Linked DNA regions of Schizosaccharomyces pombe. The gene in region 2 interacts genetically with the main gene of each other region. Each region holds a gene or a part of one and is shown on either strand. Other genes may lie near its edges.

Region 1 (4,015 bases), on a different chromosome or scaffold from region 2:
TTTATGAGCAAAAACCCTACCATATTGACCGGCAAAGACTATGTCAGTAGTAAAATGTAAAGCCGAGTTCGACAACAAGGAAGTTATGTGACTAGCATAAGGTTGGGACTCATCAATGGCTTTAGTAATATCATAAGAAAGAAGCATACGGCGAATATTATCATTAAGGGCACCATACAAACATCTTTCTCCTTGAAAAGTATCTCGTTCGCATAAAGCACCATTTTCAAGAAGAAATTTTACAACTTAAGCGTGAGAAAATATAATAATTGAGAGCAAAACATTCATAGCATACCTGGTTCATGCCCGCAAAGACTCGCAAGGACTAAAGGCGAGTAGTCAAATTGGTCTACTTGATTAATAGGTGTGTTATAGTTTTCGACCAAACTGGATTTTGAATTTAGCAATTGCAGTTAAAATTGTTTATCGATTCAATATTTTTAAATTGCACATACCTCTTGACAACTTCCAAATCTCCACGCCGACAAGCTTCACAAAGCTCAAGAAATTCTTGGGTATCATTTACTGTGAAAAGTGAGGAAGACAGCTTCTTCTCATCCATTGCCTTTGACCAAAGGTCATACTTGGAGAAAAGCTTTTTAGAATTTTCACCACCTTGCAATTCGACATGTGTTGTCCCTGTATTTTGATCTTGAGAAGCCATTTTAATAAATGAAGAACAATTAACAACCGATTAAAAGGTTATACTGAGCAAAGATTGCACTTATGTTCAACAGTATTATCGACTTAAAATTTAATTGATCATATGCGAAATGTAGTTGGTTAACGAGGGTTCTATGTAATTGTTCAAGTTCGATGTGATTTGTGAACGACTGACCAAGGCGGCGTCAGCATTTAACTACTACGTCTTCCACCACTTTATATATTCTTGTGTTTTCCGTTTTCATTAATCATATATCTTAAGTTAAAATTATTTGCTACATGAATGAGATAACTCTCTTTATTAAATCTTCCTCTGCAAATGCTGAACGAAGGATTAACCCACAATGGACTGTTAGTCAGCTTAAGACCAAATTAGTTCCTATCGTAGGGACACCAGAACAATACCAAAAACTTACGTATGAACCTGCTTCCAGTACAGTCCCTGGACACGTTTTCACTAGCGAAGAAGAGAATTTAGACCTAGGGGAATTCAAGCTTCAGCCTCTGGGGACTATAGTCGTTGAGGATACACGCCCTCCTCATTTGCGTCTAGACTTTGACGATCTTTCACAGGTTGATAAATATGTAATGCCTCGTGAACAGTATGAGAACAGGACAGATTCTGTCTATGCCTGGAAAAAAAGAAATCAGCTTGGACGATTCAATCCAGACTTTGAAGCAAGTAAAGCTTCTCGACAAGAATCTTTAAAACGTGAATTAGTCGACTTACAAAAAAATTTAAATTCTAGGTGCTGTGCAGCAGGAGAGAGATATGGAACTATTCGCTATATTGGACTAGTGCCTGAAATTAATAATGACAATCTGTGGGTTGGCGTCGAATTTGATGAACCAGTTGGGAAAAATGATGGGACAGTCAGCGGAAAGAGATACTTTAATGCGAAAAATAAACATGGATCCTTTCTTCGATCTTCTGAAGTTGAAGTAGGAGACTTCCCTCCAGAAGATATTTTAGAAGGTCTTTGATGTTGTTATTCGTTTTACAAGGTTCCATGTTAATGATTTCCTTTTTTTTTGTTAAATCTTGTATGCAGGCTTCGATTGCTAGGAGATGACTCGCTTAAGATAATGAACAATTTTCTAAAAAAATGAAAGTCTAAAAAGTAAATCATTTAGTTTAGTCATTTCTCAATTAAAATATTTTTACTCAATCAAAGAAAGCATTATAACTGTAATGAATTGTTTGTCTGGCTTTTCTTTTTTTTTTATTTACATCGTTTTACCGTAGTACCGCTAATTAAAACCACGAACGAAAGAAAACTGTGTTAGGCCTATTTGCGCATTCCTTCAACCCCTTTATTTATTTTTTTATTCAGTTTTTGAGCCAAATATTAGAAGTACTCTGATAATTCTTTAAAAGATACAAAGCAGCAATCTCAACATGAAAGATGATCACGATGCATGGGAACCAGAAGAACTAGTCAGTGACAATAACTCTTCAGAAAATGAGCTACAAGAAGACCAAAATTCTTCAATAACTTTTTTACCACCTTCAGTTAATAAATCGAATCCCGCAAAATCGAATTACTATCATTCAACAGTCACTGATGATATTTCCAAGAGTCAGCCATATCGATTAGGAGTAGATGAAGCTGGTAGAGGCCCTGTCTTAGGACCTATGGTATATGCTGTCGCTTACTGTCCAGTCGATTTCGATTTGACCAACTATGGGTTTGCTGACAGTAAAACTTTGGCCTCCTTAAAGCGAGAGGAACTTCTGAAATTAATTTGCAACAAATCTAACGAGCTAGGAAAAAACGTTGGATGGTCTACTATGTCTATTTCCGCAAGAGAATTAGCTGCAGGAATGCTGAGGTACCGGAACAAGTATAATTTAAATCTTCAAGCACATGATACGACAATTGACTTAATAAAAAAAGTTTATGAATCAGGAATAAATGTTACAGAGATTTACGTGGATACAGTAGGACCTCCAATATCATACCAGGAAAAATTACAAGCTCATTTTCCTCAAGCGAAAGTCACTGTCACTAAAAAAGCAGATTCCCTTTTTCCCATCGTGAGTTTAGCTTCTATCTGTGCTAAAGTTACTAGAGATATTCAACTGGAATGCGCTCGTGAAAGTATTCGAACTGAGAACTGGGGTTCTGGATATTCTTCTGACGCTCGAACTACCGAGTGGTTAAAAGTAAATGTCGATAAAATTTTCGGATGGAAGGGAGACATAGTTAGATATTCATGGAAAACCGCTAAGGATTTACTAGAATTACCTTCCAAATCACAGTCTTCGATTGAAATAGATTGGCACGAAGATGACGATACTCCTACTTTGAACTTTACACAGAAAAAGAAACCGAATCCGGCTTCTCGTTCGTGGTTTGGATCAGAGTTTTATTTTTAGTTTAGTTACTATACTCTGTCACTACTTTTGCCTAAGACTAATTGTGAGAGTGATACGAATTTACATTTATGCTTAAAATCATTAATTGCATTGCTTCGTGCTTTTGGAGCTACGTAGAAAACCTTTATTAGCATTTGGTTATAGATAAAAATAATATAAATTTATTGTTCTATTTACCCCAGGCTTCTGCTCTGTTTATTGAGTTTGGTTTAGCACCAACAATAATATAACGACTTGTTAAAGTTCGCTATTATAAAAATTAGGTGGTCTTCTTTTACTTCTCAGTCCGATTTTAGACTACTACCAAATACCGCTTTGTTGTGGAATCTCGTTTTTTTTTTGCATAGATACCCAATTTGATCAAATATGGCTGGCATGAGACTTATTTTAGTTGGACCTCCAGGTGCTGGAAAAGGCACTCAGGCCCCCAACATTCAGAAGAAATATGGCATCGCCCATCTTGCTACTGGTGACATGTTGCGCTCTCAAGTAGCTCGTCAAACTGAGCTCGGTAAAGAAGCTAAGAAGATCATGGATCAGGGTGGTCTTGTCAGCGATGACATTGTCACTGGTATGATCAAGGATGAGATCCTCAACAATCCTGAGTGCAAGAACGGCTTCATCCTGGACGGTTTCCCCCGTACTGTCGTCCAAGCTGAAAAGCTTACCGCTCTTCTTGATGAACTCAAACTTGACTTGAATACTGTCCTTGAGTTACAAGTTGATGATGAACTTTTGGTCAGACGTATCACTGGTCGTCTCGTCCATCCCGGATCTGGCCGTAGCTACCACTTGGAATTTAATCCTCCTAAAGTTCCTATGAAAGACGATGTTACTGGCGAGCCTCTTATCCAACGTTCCGATGATAACGCCGATGCTTTGCGCAAGCGTTTGGTCACTTATCACGAACAAACTACTCCTGTCGTTGAGTTTTACAAAAAGAAGGGTAAATGGGCTGCTGTTGATGCTGCT
Region 2 (4,113 bases):
GAAGTACGAGATGATATACTACTTGTCAAGGTTGATAGTTTCTCAAAGATTGTGTTAAATTCAAAATTCGGAGTTGACACTACGCAAACATTGGGCTTCAAGTTTCCAAAAACAAGTTTTTCAAAGGCTAAAATCTCTGCAACTTGACAATGCTCAATAAACTCTGAAGCTACAACCGCATCAACATGTTTATAATGAGTAAAATCTTTAATATTACCAAGCAATAATTCAATATGTAGCGGTCGCCAACGTAGTTGTAAAAAGTCTTCGGTTCTAACCTGTAAAGCCTCAGTAGCTCTTTCAATACTTTGTTCGTTAATATCAATACCGGCCAGAAATTCTATAGGCACTTGATCATTGCAAGGTACTAAATATGATAGAAAACGAGCATCTCCACATCCAATGTCTAACAAAGATCGCACAGGGAAGCCTCCTTGAAGTATTTTAAATAATTTCCTTCGACGCTGTACATGCAAAGGTGGGTAAAAGCTAGAGACACCCATTGTCTAAACTCAAAGTATTTTTGGTACACTTTCTTCACGTTAGTCAAATAACTACCTATTAACTGTGAATGTTCGTTTCAAAACCACTATTTAAGCCTTTTCAAATTCATTACGAAGCGAATTGTTATTAATTCTTTGCTAAGTCCATTGCAATATGATTTCGATGACTGCCGTTAAGACACCGAACCAAATTTAATTGAAAAGGGAATTGTTGACTAGTGCGAAGTGTCATTTTCAACGTTAAATAATAAAATTATCTTAGCTCCGAATCTATACTTTTCAATTTCCTCTTTAAAATTGTTATAATAGCATGATATTTAATTACAATAAAATATGTAGCATTATGCAAAACGAGAACAAAAAAAGCACATACAACCAGCGAAGAGTAGACGAAAATTATACGGCAAATTTCAAAAGAATGTACCTATATCCATTTTTTACAGCGCTCATCATAGATGACCATTTACTCAGAAGCTCCTCGCCGAGCAAGCATATCGGCTTGTTGATTACCGTAATCGGTACTGTGTCCTTTCACGTACTCTAGCGAAACATTTCTGTCACTCATCAAATCTGAAGCGCGGTTGATCAAATCCAAATTTTTTACAGGTTGTGAATTGCTAGTCTTAAAGTCATTTTTCTTCCATTTAGGCAGCCATGTGGTTAGTGACTTAATGGAATAATTGCTGTCAGAGCGGATGGTCAAATCGCCAGATGTATTTTCAAGGGCTAGGATTATGGCTTGCAATTCCGCACGATTGTTGGTTTGCTCTTCCCCAGCCAACGGTACTGAAATATTTCTTGGGTCATCATTTCCGAAAAAAACTCCACAGCCAGCAACAGCTCCTTTTTTCCCATTTCGCAAACTAGAACCGTCAGCATAGACGACCTGTCGATCCGAGCACGCAATTGATTTTTCATGAGTGTCATTCGAAAATATTTCAATATCTTTTTCGGTACTATAACTTCTAGAAATTTTCTTTCTATATTTATCGGAGTGTCTAGCAGAGTAATTTGAGGAACTAGAAGAATATGGAGAGTACCCATAACTTGTTGTACTGCGGCGATATGGGCCAGAAGACGAGGAGTAGCGACTTCCTTCGGTCCTGCAAAATTCCTGAGCAGCCTCATAGCTGTCAAATTTCTTGTAGCGATTACCTCCATAACCTTTCACCTGATCCGACGCCTCATCCCTAAAAATTAGTAAGAGTTTGTTAAACAACAAGGTGTATCCATCAAGGAAATGTTAATAAGAGATCATCTTGAAAAAACCGATTCAGATTGAATTGAAGCAAAGCATACGACCGTATCGAAACTTGCTTAACGTGAAACTTATATTTAACAACGAAACCATTTTCTTGAGATACGCAGTCTTACCATGTACTATATATACCAGTATTTCGACCACGCGCTACTGCATAGTATGCACGCTTATTTCCACCCATTTCGTAATGCGAAGATTCAAAAATAGCTTTAAAATAGTAAAACTTAGTAAAACTTGGGAGTTTTTCCCAAAACTTTGCAAAAATACTTGTAGTTGACAAATTGAGCTGTAGTCTTATGAGTTATTGAAAATAGTGCAGAAAAAAGAAGGATTTGGATTTATAAATTTATATTAATTTGTAAAAGAGTTCAATTGACGATTAATAATGGTAGAGCATCAGGAAATGTCACATATCTGGACTACTGCAGTACGATACATAATAAAACGGGTTTGCTTATTTACTAGCTGCATAATCTCTGCACACTATATTACGGTAAGCTAGTTAGATCTCCGCGACTGTTATACCGCCTGACATTAAAATTAATACACAATTGATAGTATATTTTATTAGTTAAAAGCTCCTTAAATATAGAATACTCATTTTATGTCCTTAGCTCATTTAATGTAGTCTAATTTCAAACAAGCAGAAAAATGTATTGTTTGTTTAGTAATAATTGTTTAAGTCATTTTACCTTTTTAAGATTATACTTTCATAAAGAATCCTCATCTCTGTTGGCCTCTGAGTAGTTTGCAAATTGCGCAATTGTTATTCTAAAAAGAATCTTTTAGTCAGAGAAAAGATTATGCTTTTGCAGTGGGTATTGCCGCGCGTAGCAGAAAATTTGTAAACTATTCCACCATGTGCCCTTTTCAATTTAGTGCTAATTAAATGTTCAGTTTTGCGGACTTTAGCGTTCACTTCAATATTCCAGAATTCATATTTAAAAGAAAAGTTTTGAGAAAGTTTTCTTACTTTGTTTTATCAGCTGTATATATCATTTAGAGCTGTGCTTTATGTAACCATCATTTCGGTTACAAGGTTGGCATATGAGAATATACTCATAATAGCTACCATCTGCTTACTGAATAAGAGCATATTAAAATGTGAACCGATTTAGTCGTTTATTGTGTCGGTATACTATTTAGCAGTCGTATAACTCAATACATCGGTTAAAGTATATTAAATATGTCTTTAAGTTCTTCTGTATAAAATTTAACAAAATTTTAAAAACACTCATAAAGTATCACTATTTTCACTAACTTTCACCTCTCGAACCACGCTTTCCTTTTGTACATAGTGTTAGAACCAGCGTTCGAATCGCCCTTATGGATTCACTCATTCGGCATTGCTCAGAAGAAATTGCTTTGGATGGATCATCGGGATGTAGCATAGATCGTTTATGGGAATTTGCTGCAAATTTTTTTTTTCGGCAAGGTATCGTACAAAATTTAGACGATAACTATAAAACATTTGTGTGGCCTTTAATTTTAAAAGAAGATGGAATTGAGGTTTGGATTGAAGATGAAGATGCCACTGGATTACGAAGTAAAATGCAAGAAATCCCTTGGAATTACCAAGATATCACGATTGAGTTACGCGCTCGTATACGCTTATTCGCTTCAGAAGACAGGCAATGGCTTACTCTCACTTACAAGACGAAGACAGATTCAAAAATTCAACCTTTAGCCTTTGAATTATTGTCTTGCATATCTAGATATAGGCAGGAAGGTGTTGATAGAATCCAATTATGTAAGGAGACTAAGCAGGAGCCTCGAAGCGTTTACGGTCGTATTCAAGCGCTAGAAGATGCTTCTTTAATATCAAAGGTTGCCATTAATCGAAGCAGAGCACAAACTGCTCTGCTAGTTCTAAAGCGATTTGAGTCAGAGAACAGCACAATTAACGAAACTGTTGCTCAGGTATCTGGTAAGCAAATTTATAACACTGAAAAAATTCGTAGCAATATATGTGATGCTGTTCAGTCTTCACGTAACGGAATTTGCCGTCATGTTGATGCTCGTGCGATGGTGAATTTAAACCACAGTCGCTGGGAACGAAGATATTATGCTCGACAAGTTACATATTTACACAATAATGGATACCTTCGCAAATGCCTTACTTTTGTTCCTAACTCTCCAGAGCGTTGCATTCGCTGTTTACAATTTATAAAACCTTACATTTCATCTTTAGACGCAACTGAGGACGACGTTGATTTTACTGAAGTGGATGATATTCCAGAAGACGATGAATTAGAGGAAGAAGAACCACTCCTTCCGTCAAAAGAAGAATTTGATGCTTCCTTTTTGCAGCCACTAGCCGACGTTGGACCTACTCTTCCCCAATGGTCT

What was found.
Region 1: mutations in rnh1 (region 2) and rnh201 are lethal when combined (synthetic lethality), as found in Schizosaccharomyces pombe (2 studies listed by BioGRID, with this or other methods).

What each region holds. Positions count from the first base shown.
Region 1 is NC_003424.3:2,252,526-2,256,540, forward strand, and holds rnh201 (ribonuclease H2 complex subunit Rnh201), read left to right. Parts: upstream 1-1,970; 5' UTR 1,971-2,062; coding exon 2,063-3,043; 3' UTR 3,044-3,331; downstream 3,332-4,015. Other genes in the region: ubiquitin ligase Btb3, read right to left, coding at 1-245, 296-387, 456-664; alp11 (tubulin-specific chaperone cofactor B), read left to right, coding at 943-1,647; adenylate kinase Adk1, read left to right, coding at 3,410-4,015. UniProt on the Schizosaccharomyces pombe protein: Endonuclease that specifically degrades the RNA of RNA-DNA hybrids. Participates in DNA replication.
Region 2 is NC_003423.3:2,747,825-2,751,937, forward strand, and holds rnh1 (ribonuclease H Rnh1), read right to left. Parts: upstream 2,199-4,113; 5' UTR 1,946-2,198; coding exon 1,878-1,945; exon of another isoform or gene 1,694-1,877; coding exon 967-1,693; 3' UTR 665-966; downstream 1-664. Other genes in the region: hen1 (S-adenosylmethionine-dependent methyltransferase), read right to left, coding at 1-503; transcription factor TFIIIC subunit Sfc3, read left to right, coding at 3,091-4,113. UniProt on the Schizosaccharomyces pombe protein: Endonuclease that specifically degrades the RNA of RNA-DNA hybrids.